3 linked regions of the Oryctolagus cuniculus genome follow. The protein of the gene in region 1 interacts with the protein of each later gene in a biochemical or structural test. Links are inferred from orthologs where the notes say so. Each region holds a gene or a part of one and is shown on either strand. Other genes may lie near its edges.

What was found.
Region 2: the proteins of PJA1 (region 1) and MAGED1 form a complex in vitro, tested with the Homo sapiens proteins (2 studies listed by BioGRID, with this or other methods). The link is inferred for Oryctolagus cuniculus from reciprocal best matches to the Homo sapiens genes PJA1 and MAGED1.
Region 3: the proteins of PJA1 (region 1) and NSMCE3 form a complex in vitro, tested with the Homo sapiens proteins (2 studies listed by BioGRID). The link is inferred for Oryctolagus cuniculus from reciprocal best matches to the Homo sapiens genes PJA1 and NSMCE3.

What each region holds. Positions count from the first base shown.
Region 1 is NC_091453.1:49,098,613-49,102,844, reverse strand, and holds the start of PJA1 (E3 ubiquitin-protein ligase Praja-1), read left to right. Parts: upstream 1-1,398; 5' UTR 1,399-1,524; intron 1,525-1,760; exon of another isoform or gene 1,761-1,951; intron 1,952-3,658; 5' UTR 3,659-3,725; coding exon 3,726-4,232. UniProt on the Homo sapiens protein: Has E2-dependent E3 ubiquitin-protein ligase activity. Ubiquitinates MAGED1 antigen leading to its subsequent degradation by proteasome. May be involved in protein sorting.
Region 2 is NC_091453.1:36,245,609-36,249,906, forward strand, and holds the start of MAGED1 (melanoma-associated antigen D1), read left to right. Parts: upstream 1-1,452; 5' UTR 1,453-1,489; intron 1,490-4,298. UniProt on the Homo sapiens protein: Involved in the apoptotic response after nerve growth factor (NGF) binding in neuronal cells. Inhibits cell cycle progression, and facilitates NGFR-mediated apoptosis. May act as a regulator of the function of DLX family members.
Region 3 is NC_091443.1:11,538,249-11,541,462, forward strand, and holds NSMCE3 (non-structural maintenance of chromosomes element 3 homolog), read left to right. Parts: upstream 1-1,355; 5' UTR 1,356-1,411; coding exon 1,412-2,239; 3' UTR 2,240-2,584; downstream 2,585-3,214. UniProt on the Homo sapiens protein: Component of the SMC5-SMC6 complex, a complex involved in repair of DNA double-strand breaks by homologous recombination. The complex may promote sister chromatid homologous recombination by recruiting the SMC1-SMC3 cohesin complex to double-strand breaks.

The sequences.
Region 1 (4,232 bases):
TATTAAATAAAATGGATCTTCTCTTGAGTACAAAAATACATACACAGTAGATGAGGCTTATTGGGTTGTTCAATCGTTCTATTTCCTTCTTTGTAGTCTATTGGAACTGTCTATACCATGTACGGTTAAGTCTCGCATTGTAATTGTAGACTTTCTTTATTTATTATTTTTAACAGTATTTGCGTCATAAATTTTGAAACTACGTTGTTTGACACAGAGATTTTTGTGACCAGTTTATCTTTCTTGATAAACTGAACAACTGTTGGTTCTCTTTAAAGCTTTTCATTTAGCCTTGATGTTTATAACGCTAATATTGTTGCAAGTGTATTTCCTTTGGTTCCCTCTCTGTGTTTTTTCCCCCTCCTCCCATCCCCTCCCTCTCTCTGTCCTTCCCTCCCTTCCTTTGTTTTTCCCCTTCTGGTATTTAACTGGTATATATCTTGCATTCCTATTTCTCCTTTAGGTGAAACTCTCATACAAACAACATATAACTGGATTTTTAAAAATGTAATGCTCAAAACAAGATATTTTTGTAATTGATCTTAATCCATAGTACATACTGATACCTTCATGTTTGTTTCTGACCCTTTTCTTCCTTTTTTATATTGTTTCTTCCCATTTCTGCTGTTAGATTTGCCGTTTTCTCTTTTATTCCTCATTGTTACTTTAATGGTTTGAAACTCACACATCCTATTCTTGAGTGTTTTTACCACCAAACTTTTTGTTCCGTGTGCATTACACTTCCAGCAAAAGTAAAACTTTGTTACTGTTTTGTCCATGGGAAATCTCTACATTGGCTGCCAAAGTTAGAGCTCAGAGTTTAGTGAAATTGGTTAAATCCAAAAGGTAGAATTCTCATTAAAAAAAAAAAAAACGCACTGCAACTGTCAGAATAGGAACCCGTGTTGGGCCGCATGTTTGGTCATTTCTTTTGGATACAGAACTTTGATTTTGTGATCAACAGCAACAAATTCTTATGCAAACCATTTCAATTTGCTTTGATCATTAGCTTGGGGGGGGGGAATGTAAGCCTACTGCAACCCTAACTATAGTTTCACATTCAGAATACTTCCAATAGAAACCATAACATATCACACAGAGCGTAACATAGTGGTACAACTCCGCACATTGGAATTCATCAGAATTTGTAGATTACATTTTATTACAGAGAAAGAACAGAGCGGAAGGGCATATGTCTAAATGTTCAATATTCGTTGACGCTGGCTGTTAGCATTTCTCACTGTCCTTTTGTGTATCCTTGCCGATTTCATCGTTTACCATGTAATAATGCTTTTGGGGAGCCCCCGCCCCCTCATTTGCCCAGAGCAGCTGCCGCCCAGCCACATCAAGAGGGCGGGCCCCAGCCGACGCAACAATCACTTCCGCCGCCGCAGTCCCCGCCCACTGGCTCCGTTGCTGTCTGACGGGGGAGGAGCCCGAGACCCAGGAGCAGCGGCTGTGGCAGTGGTGGCGGTCGGAGGTCCGAGAGCTCTGCTCTGAGGAGCCTGCGGTTGTCCGGACAGGGTGAGTGGAAGGCCCGCAGTTCAGCCCGGCGCTGGCACTTGGGGCGATCGGCGGGGACGGGGTGGGGTGGAGGGTTTGGGGCGGAGGGGTGAGGGGGATTCCCGTGAACCGCTTTTCAGGTTCGCCCCTCGGGAAGGGGTGGGGCGGGCTCGGGACCTGCCTGCCCAGGGAGGCCCGTGTCCTCCATCGGCCGCTGGGAGGGCCCCGCAGCCTCGTCTGCGGAGCCCCTTCCTGGCGGCTCGGTCCTCGCTCGAGTGGCTCCAGTGGCTGTTGGAGAGGAGAGAGTGGTGATCGCGACCCTCGCCTACGTCCCCTGCATCCCTCCTCAGTCCCCTTGGCGGTGCACTCCGTGTGACCTTTCTTCTCTCCCCACCCCTCCCGATTTCGCTGCCGTTTTGCCAAATGGTTAACTGGTGAAGGATTTCAGGTACAAATGGTCTGGGGGAAAGAATTGTCGGGGGGGGGATTGTTCTTCAGGAAACAACTGTACCCCCACGCGCCCTTTCTCCCTCGCCCCATTCTCCCCTTGCCATATCAGTTTGGGGCTGCCCTTTGAGCAGATAACGTTTTCCTTTCTTGTTTTATGACATCGCGCTCCCTCCCTGCACTCCAGACCTGGGTCGCGCGTGTGTGGCACACACACGCGCGCGCACACACACCCCTTTCCATTGCGGGTCCCCTCTGGGCCACTCCATCCTGGATGTTCTAGTGCGTGGCCCCTCTGCCGCGCATGCGCACTCAGGCGCGCGCACACCCTCTCACACACCCTCTCACACACCCTCAGACCGTCCGGTGCCTTCCCCCTTGGGCTCACGGCCTCCCACACACCCACCTCTAGAACGGACCCTTTGCTCCTTCAGTGCTCTGGCGGGGGACACACACACACACCCACACACACACACCCTCCAGGACTGCCCTGTTTCTGTCCTGGCTGGCCACTGACACACCTGCACACATACTTAGGCTTGTTCCCATACCCTTCTCATGTGCTCTCCTGCTCTCTGTGTGCCATGGGTGTGCATTGATAACCCTCTGCTGGGGCCCCCACGTACACTCACACCTAAGTCCTCCTCCAGAGACCTCGCTGCCTGCCACAGTGACACATACAGGTAGTCTGATGGCTGGCCTCCATTCCCGCATGCGTGCGTTCACACACACACACACACACACACACGAACACACACCCCGCTCTCCACTGCTGCCCCCTACCCCGCTGATGCCTGTCATGTTGGCTCACATGGACAGCTTTCCGTTGTGTCTCCCATCAGGGTAAGCTGACACTCTCCCTTGCCACCACACCCTTGCTTCCTTGCCTGCAACATAGACAGCCACTGAGTAGCTCTCCTTACTTCCGGAACACCCCCCTCTCCTCTGAACCCTCCGACCCCAGGCCTGTCATGTTCACATGCACTTCCAGGATGGATCTCCTTGTGGCTGGCAGTCAGTCAGCCCTGCTGCTCCCTCCTTTCCACCTGTCCATCTCTTCTGGACACACATGCAGGCACGCATGCACACACAGTGATCTGTATTTCCCACTCTTCCAAACTGCATTTCTCCTGTGCGTCTGCAGGGCTCAGAAAATTAAAAAAAAAAAAAAGCGCATTAAGCACACAGCAGTCTTTTCGCTTTCCTTAGTTGGCACACTTTCACAGTACTTCACTTACCTTTCAACTGTCTGGTCCTCTCCGCCCCACCCCACCCCCACCACTTTGTGTCAGGTTCTCTTCTAAGTCTGGCTTTTCTGCAAAGCTAATCTTGCAATCGTTCTGCTAGCATCAAGAATGTGGTCCAGGTCTGCACCTGCCACTCGCTGGAATGTTACTCCAGGCCTTAGAAGAAAGTGAAAGTAATTTTAAAGACCCCCCCCCCCTGGTGTTAACCTGCCTGCTGAAGTGAAAATAAATCTCCCAGCTCCTTTATTCAGATCGATTGGACTTTCCCATCTCTAAAATGCGTGTGTGTCGGGGGGGGTGGGGGCAGGAGCCTTTCTAGCCCAAACCAACTGTGTTGGGAACGCTCCTGTTCCACTAGAGCAGTGGGTCAGGAAGGTAGCAAGCCTGCATGGCACAGGCTGGCAAGAGGGAATGGGGTCCCATTGAGGCAGAGGGTCTGGAAGGAGGCATGCTTATATCAGTTTCAGGCCAAGCAGGAGCCAGCAGGACAGGATTGCCAGCCAGAGAAGGACGACCTCAGCAGTCCCAATGCACAGATCAACCCCCAGTCAAGTCACCAAGAGGAGCCGGTCGCCATTCTCCACCACTCGTCGTACTTGGGACGGCAGTGAGAACTCGGGGCCGAGTCTGAATGTTGATAATGAGGACTATTCCAGGTACCCTCCCCGAGACTACAGGGCTTCGGGGAGCAGAAGAGCCCTGGCTTATGGACATATTGACTGTTTCGGGGCAGATGATAGTGAGGAGGAGGGGGCTGGGCCTGTGGAGCGACCGCCAGTAAGAGGGAAGGCTGGCAAGGTGAAAGATGATAAGCTGTATGACCCAGACAAAGGGGCAAGGTCTCTGGCTGGGGTGCCCCTCCAGTTCTCTAGCTTTAACCGTGACGTGAGAGAAGAACTTGCGAAATTAGAGCCAGCCCCTGCCGACAGGTGCTCTGTCGGCAGAGCTGAGTTCCTGCCGCAGCACTGCCTGGCCCCTCACAGATCTGCCGAAGGCAAGGGCATTGCCCACGGTGATCGATTGGAGAGGGAGAGA
Region 2 (4,298 bases), about 13 Mb from region 1:
TTTTGTACACAATACTAAGGAATTGGGATTTGGAGACAAATGTGGAGGGTCAGAACTTAGATAGTGATGTTGATGACTGAGGGTAGTGGACAAAGTCTACGAATGTTGCTCATACATCTCTCTTTCTCAGAGTCCTTCTAAAGTGGAATTGCCCACTCACCCACTCAATTACATTGCTATCTTACCTGTTTTGCTTCTTCACAGTTTTTGTCAGATTTCAGCATGTATTGCTTTAAATAGTTTATCATAGGACACAAGAATATAATTCCTACGAGGATAGACATAATAGAGTGCTTTCTGAATGAGTCCACTTTTATTTAGAAATTTGAATATGCTAATTCTCTGGATACCACTCTGTGACAAAATTCAGTAATCATATTTTTTACAAAAGCTAATAAGGGGCAGAAGTTGTGGCTGGGAGGTGTGGACACTCCTTGGGACACTGGCATCCTGAATGGAAGGTCTGGGTTCAAGTCGCACCTCTGCTTCTGATCCAATTTTCTATTGGTACACAGCTTGTGAGGCAGCATGTGATGGCTCAAGTACTTGGATCCCTGAGATTTGGATGGAATTCCTTTGGATCCTGACTTTCACCTAGTATAGCTGGGATGGATTGCTGTGGGCATCTAAGAATGAAAGAACTTTCACTCCCTTTCAGATGAAAACAAATACATATTATTCAAAAAAATTTTTATTTTATTTATTTGAAAGAGAGTTACAGAGAGAGGCAGAGGCAGAGGCAGAGAGAGAGAAAGAGGTCTTCCCTCCGCTGGTTCACTCCCCAAATGGCCGCAACGGTCAGAGCTGAGCCCATCTGAAGCCAGAAGCCAGGAGTTTCCTCCGGGTCTCCCATGCGGGTGCAGGAGCCCAAGGACTTGGGCCATCTTCTACTGCTTTCCCAGGCCACAGCAGAGAGTTGTATCAGAAGTGGAGCAACCGGGACTCGAACTGGTGCCCATATGGGATGCCGGTGCTTTCGGCCAGGGTTTTTAACCTGCTATGCCACAGTACCGGCCCCAAATACTTATTATTTTTTAAAAAGCTGATAAAAATAAATTTTCTAAATTTTCCAATTTTCCAAATTGCTGCCCCAGAAAATAGTAAATCAGTATGGTTAAATATGTAACTGTATACATCCAAGACATTGATAATGAAGTCTGAATTAAAGGAGTAAGGTAAAGGAGTCTATTTCTAAGACAACACGACGAACTGAACAAGTGGGATTTGGTAGAGATACTGTAGTTTCTGAAATGATTAGAGTCAGAATTTGCAGAAATTTACTGATTCCCTGTCCTGGGCCCTTTATATCATTATCCAACTTCTCATCTGGGAGCTAATGAGATAAAGCATCCCAGCGCTTGCTAGAGAGGCACAGGAAGTTGCCTGGAGGGAAGGGAATGGGGGTGGCAGCGGCAGAAGCCAAAGCTTCCGCCAAACAAAAGAGGAAAGCACTTCCGGTCACGCCATCGTCGCTGCCTTCTTCGTCAAGGTGAGTGTAAAGAAGGGGACTGATAATTCTCACAAATAAATCCTGCTCCCTTCGGGGAAACGTTGCTTCTGGCCTCAGCATGAGGTGGAAACAAGGTGTATTCATTCTCAGAGTACAGCGTGTGAAGGATGCTTCTGACGCCTGTGGTTCTGATCGCTTCACCATCTCCTCTCCTCCTCCTCAGGGGAAGGGAGGCCGGCACCCGCCCCCTGCCCCCACCCTTGCTTCTGACATTCGTGGTTCTTTTATCCTCCCGACTTCTGGTCATGCTTCACATCCCCTCTTTATCCCGGATCCTTTTCTCCGGTATTTCTGGTTGTTCCCTGTCCCACAAATCTCTCTCTTCCACTAATCCGCAACTTCCGCCCCGCGCCCTTTTAGCCCCAGACCCTTGGCGAGCCCCTTCCTATTCTCTCAGCGGACATTCTTCCTTCCTTCTCTTTCCATCCCAGAATGAAGGGAACTTAAGAAAGTTCCAGGAATATGAAATTAAAAGATGCAGTTATTTTGGTACACAAATTTGATTCGTAGGTTTCTTTCCCCCCATAATACGCATTTTCCACGAACTTTTTGAAGACTCGTATTTTACTCCCTTTGCTGGCTTTCGGTCTTTTACTGTCTCTCCCCTGCAGAGGCCATTGCGTTATACATTTTCCAAAAGCAAGTATGTCTTAAACGTTGAGTTTGCTTTTCTTGTTCTTAAAAAAAAAAAAAAAAGAAAAGCAAAGAAGCAGAAATTGTAGAGCCTGAAGAAGGCATCGGGACTTGTTCAAATTATGTCTGTCTATTTATTTATTTCTCTCAACAAAATTATGCGCCATTTAGTTATTATTGCACTGGTTTCAACCCTCTAAGTGTTTGTATTGATTGACTGATTGATTGTAGTTTTTTTTTAAATGTTGGCAGACAGAACTCCCAGAGTTTTGGAGGAGCAAACATAATGGGTTTTGCGTATACGTTGGTGTCAGCTTTAGAGATGGAAGCTTTCCCATCTCCTGTAAAACCATTCTTAGAGGAGAAGTGATTGACAGGCTTGAGGTCCAATCCTCAATTTATTACTTCAGGAGTTAACTTTATTATACAAATCCTTTTCTGGTCTCTAGGGGCAACATTGAACAGTAAAGCTGGCAGATTTTTTTTAAAGATGGTTTCCTAGGCTCACTTTACGATTTTTATATAGTCTGCCTGTTGCAATGGGAACTTTGTCTTTTCGTGTCTTGAAATGTGAGGTGTATTTTTCTGTTCCATGTGTTATGCAAAATTTATCTTGGAAGAATATCAACTGAATTTATTCGCTTTTCTTTACCCATATGATCATTAAATTTGTGGTAAGGACAAGGTTTTTGTCAGGCTTTATGAAGAATTTAACCACAGTTCCCCTTGAATAAGCAGTTAACTTCTTCCTCCTCCTGTAACTCATGTGTTGTGTTTGACAGAATGAGCGATGACTCCCTTTTCTAGGGCAGAATTTCAGTTCATTTAGATAGAATAAACAAATGAGGTGGATTTCATGACAGCAGAACACTCAGGAACTTTTTAAAACGGTATTAGCAAATGTCTCTTTACTCATATTATTATGCAACATTTATATGTCTTTCACACTGTTTTCAACCCACTGTGCACCCACCCATTTGATTTTGTGTGTGTGTGTGTGTGCTGAATAGCTTATATGTCAGACAGTGTTCTCAGAACTGGGAATACAACAGTACAAAACAAAAGTAGATGTTATAGCTGAGAGGCAATAAATGAATGCAGAGATCTTCAAAAAGTTCACAGAAATAGGCATTATCTTTTAATTTCCTTTTCCAGGAACTTTTTCAAGGCACCACTTCTATAAAATAAATTGTGATGGGGGCGAGCTGTACTGTTTTAGATAAGATGGTCAGGGAGCTCTCTCTGGTAGAGTGGCAGTTCAGTACAGACCTGAAGGAAATGAGGATGCAAATTATGCAGATTATTATTGGAAAAAAATACTTTCATGCTATGATCTCTCATTTGTCATTCACTCTGCTTCCTACATCTCTTTTGCCATCCCTGTGGTCCTCTAGTGGCCACTTTGCTGCATAACTTTAATTCAACACTACCAACTCAGATAACTCAATCCATCGCAATTCCCTGTATTCTCTGCCACCTGGCTAGCTTCTTGCTACCATTGAGATGAATTGCCACTTAACAGTCCCTTTAGGAAGGAGGCTGTATCTATATCTCTAGCCCCACCTCACCCCCAGTTTGTTTATTCCTGGTGCATTGTGTGCTATTCTATAGTAATATTTACCTATCTTTTTGACTGCTATTACCACTGTGTGTTCATAATATTTTGCCCATAAATGTTTGGTGTGGTAATTTGAAATTAATCCAGTGCTTGTCAGTAAGAGACAAACTTTTAAATATAGTTTCTCCACTAATGTTCACAATTACTCTCTAAGGTCATTAGTCATTGTTGTCATTTTGCTGATGATAAAACCAAGACCCAGAGGTCTGGAATAACTTGCTAAACTGCTATATTTCATGCATTTAAAGTCCATCAAACACTTAGTCCTGGTCAGGTTCTCTCTATCTCTCTGTTAATGAGAAATAGAAAAATATACAGACTATTTTATTGTTTTATAAGACATAATCTGTGTGCAGAAACTCCAGTTTTTGGAAACTTCCTGTCATAGATAGGAGTATCATGTACTTGAATTACATGCTAATTGATAAATATTAGGAGCCATGAAATATGACTCTACCCATTTTTAATAAAGATTTAAACAAGCAGAAATCGAAAGAAGAGTACAATGAGCACTCATACTCTGAACCTAGAGTCAGC
Region 3 (3,214 bases), on another chromosome or scaffold:
CTCGGAGTGGGTCATTTAGAAACAGCAGAATGTTATCTGGCTCACAATTCTGGAAATGAGCAAGTTCAAGGTAAAAGTGAAGAGAGCCCATGGCGAGAGGACGAGGAGGAGAGGACCGGTCACTGCATACTGACCCGCTTGGGGGAAAATGCATTGCTCATTTGGCAGAGCCCTCGTCACCCCCCAGCACTATTAGGGGACATGAACTTTGCGGGACACTCTAACCGCGGCAGCCTCTCATTAAGACTGCCGCGAGGGGCCCCTTCGGTGGATTCGGTGTGGGAGAGCGACTGCTCCCAGCTAGCATTTTGATCATACTGCACCACAGCGTGGATTAAGACTTCACGGTTAGCACTGGGGTGGTGTGGGTGCCATTATCAGATTGCATTTTCATATTGAATTATAAACAAAAATTTTATGTGACTCTCCTTCAATGGAATGTTAATAAGGCTGTGCTTTGGTGCTGTTATTCAAATAATGGGCTCTGAATTGCTTTCCGCGGAATATATTTGCATTAAAGAGGAACTCAATTTAATTTAGTTCCTAGAGAAGTTTACCCATTTTCCCGGTAGCTTTAAAAAAAAAAAGACGGGGAAATTGAGTTTCCTTGCAAGTCGAGAAGAAACACACTTGCTAAAATCTGTAGGCGCGCCAGCAGATTGCTGATCGCTCGAGTTAATGGAACGACGCGTTGCACAATTGAAAATGCATGCAAACTGCACACGTCGCGGACCCCCTGTGCGCTTTGCTACGGATCCCAGTGGCTGGGGAGTTTGCAATGAAGGCGTCTAGGAGATGCACGTTAGCGCAGCTCGCATCCGCGAGGCCTCCGAGGAAGTGGGAATGTCTCCGGGTCCTGCCCCGGGCGTGGCTGCGGGCCCAGGGCCGTGCCCGCGGGCGCCGCGTTCCCCGGCCCCCCGCCGCGGGCAGTGGCCGCCAGCCCCTCGTGTCCCGCACACCCCGGAGGACACGAGGGCGGGCGCCAAGGTCAAGGACGCCCTGCGGCTCGCGTGTCTCGACCTCCACGGTCTGCGCCGCAGCGGGCGCTCCAGCCTCCCACGCCGTGGCGGCCTCGGCCACTCCATCCACAAAGGCGCCCGATGCTAAACCTCTTAATACCGCCCGTAACCGCCCCGCGCCCGTGCGGGCCTGAAATTAGCCGCACCCTAGAGCAGGAGTTTGGTGGTCTCTTTCTAACCCGATTAACCCATCACTCCCACCAGCAGCACCGCGCCGCCCTTCCGCAGGCGCGGCTGCGCATGCCCAGCGCCGCCCCCCGTGACGCAGCACGCACGGGGACGCACGCCGCGTGGCCCCGCCCCCTGGCGCCTCGCGCCGACCCACAATCCCCGCCGCTTCCGGCCGTTGCGGCCCCCGCCCCGCTGCGGCCCCCGCCCCGCTGCCTGGAGCCATGTTGCAGAAAGCCCGGAGCCGGGGCCGGTCCAGTTCCCAGGCCGACAGGGACGGGGGCCGCGGCGCCGCCGAGGAGACGCCGAGCACGTCCCGCGGGCCGGGCGGCTCGCAGGAGGCGCTGAGCGCCCCGTCGGTGGGGCCCAGGACTCAGAAGCAGCTGGAGCTGAAGGTGGCGGAGCTGGTGCAGTTCCTGCTGGTCAAGGACCAGAAGAAGATCCCCATCAAGCGCACGGACATCGCGAAGCACGTGCTGGGCGACTACAAGGACGTCCTGCCGGACCTGCTGCGGCTGGCCGGCGAGCGGCTGCAGTACGTGTTCGGCTACAAGCTGGTGGAGCTGGAGCCCCGCAGCAACGCGTACATCCTGGTGAACACGCTGGAGCCGGTGGAGGAGGACGCGGCGGTGCGGGGCGACCAGGGCACGCCCACCACGGGCCTGCTGATGATCGTGCTGGGGCTCATCTTCATGAAGGGCAACGCGGTGAAGGAGACGGAGGTGTGGGACTTCCTGCGGCGGCTGGGCGTGCACCCCACCAAGCGGCACGTGGTCTTCGGGGACCCCAAGAAGCTGCTCACCGAGGACTTCGTGCGGCAGCGCTACCTGGAGTACCGGCGGATCCCGCACACGGACCCCGTGGACTACGAGTTCCAGTGGGGCCCGCGCACCAGCCTGGAGACGAGCAAGATGAAGGTGCTCAAGTTCGTGGCCAAAGTGCACAACCAGGACCCCAAGGACTGGCCGGCGCAGTACTGCGAGGCCCTGGCGGACGAGGAGAGCCGGGCCCGGCCGCAGCCCCAGCCCAGCGGGCCGGCCGCCACCTGCTGAAGCCCGCGGCGCGGGCGGGAGGGGCGCCCGGGGGTGGGTGGGTGGGTGGGCTCGCCTCCCCCGGCCCCTGCTGTCTGCTCCCAGGCCGCCGCCTCGAAGCAGGCTTGGGGGAGCGGCGGCTTTTGCCCCCACCCCCGGTTTAGACTTTGCCGTCGTGTTGTTATTTTGTATAAAATCTTGCTGGCTTTGTAAGACTAACCGGAGCGCTGCGTGCCGTGCCCTGGGACAGGTGTTTAAGAAAGCGCGTGAGCGCAGGACCTCGGTGCCGAGAATATAAAAGCAGAGAAGTGATTTCACGTCTCCTACCCCCATTTGTAAGGAAAATAAAGCTGTTTGCAAAGTTGACCGTGCGACTAGAACCGTCTGTCCTTGTTAGAGTAACACGCGGATTTCACAGGCTTCCTGCCCCGGGCCGCGGCCGTGACTCCGAGCGATGGCCTCCTGTGCCTCCAAGAGGGTTTTGGGCTCACGATTGTTACTCAGCTGTGTGGCTCATCGCTCAGTTCCATTGGGCGGCTTTTCTTCCCTCTAACTACGTAGCCGTTAACGATAAATGCTGTATTTTAAAGTGGTTAGTCATGCGCGTTTTTAAATCTCTTGCATATTAATGTTCATAGCGTTCTGTAGAAGTTGATGTAAAAAAAGTATTTGCGTAGCTTCACGGTGTGAAATGTGTGTCTCGGTCAGTGACCCACCTGCCTGCCGGACGGCCCAGGTGTGTGAACTGACGGGGCCTAGCCTGTGAGGTGGCCGATGCCGGCGTGAACAGGGAAGTTTACCTAAGACTCCTGTCACAGCCCCTTTGTAAAGTTATTCAGAAAGAAGATTTTTTTTCTTCTTAGTCCGGAGCTGCTGCTTCCTGTGTGTGCCGACTTTTAACTGTTCTCAGCCGCTCCTAGGAAAGTCGGGCCTCTGTCCTAGCCTGACTGCGCTGTGTGGGTCTGTGGAAAGGCATCTGGTGCACGGCGAGTGCAG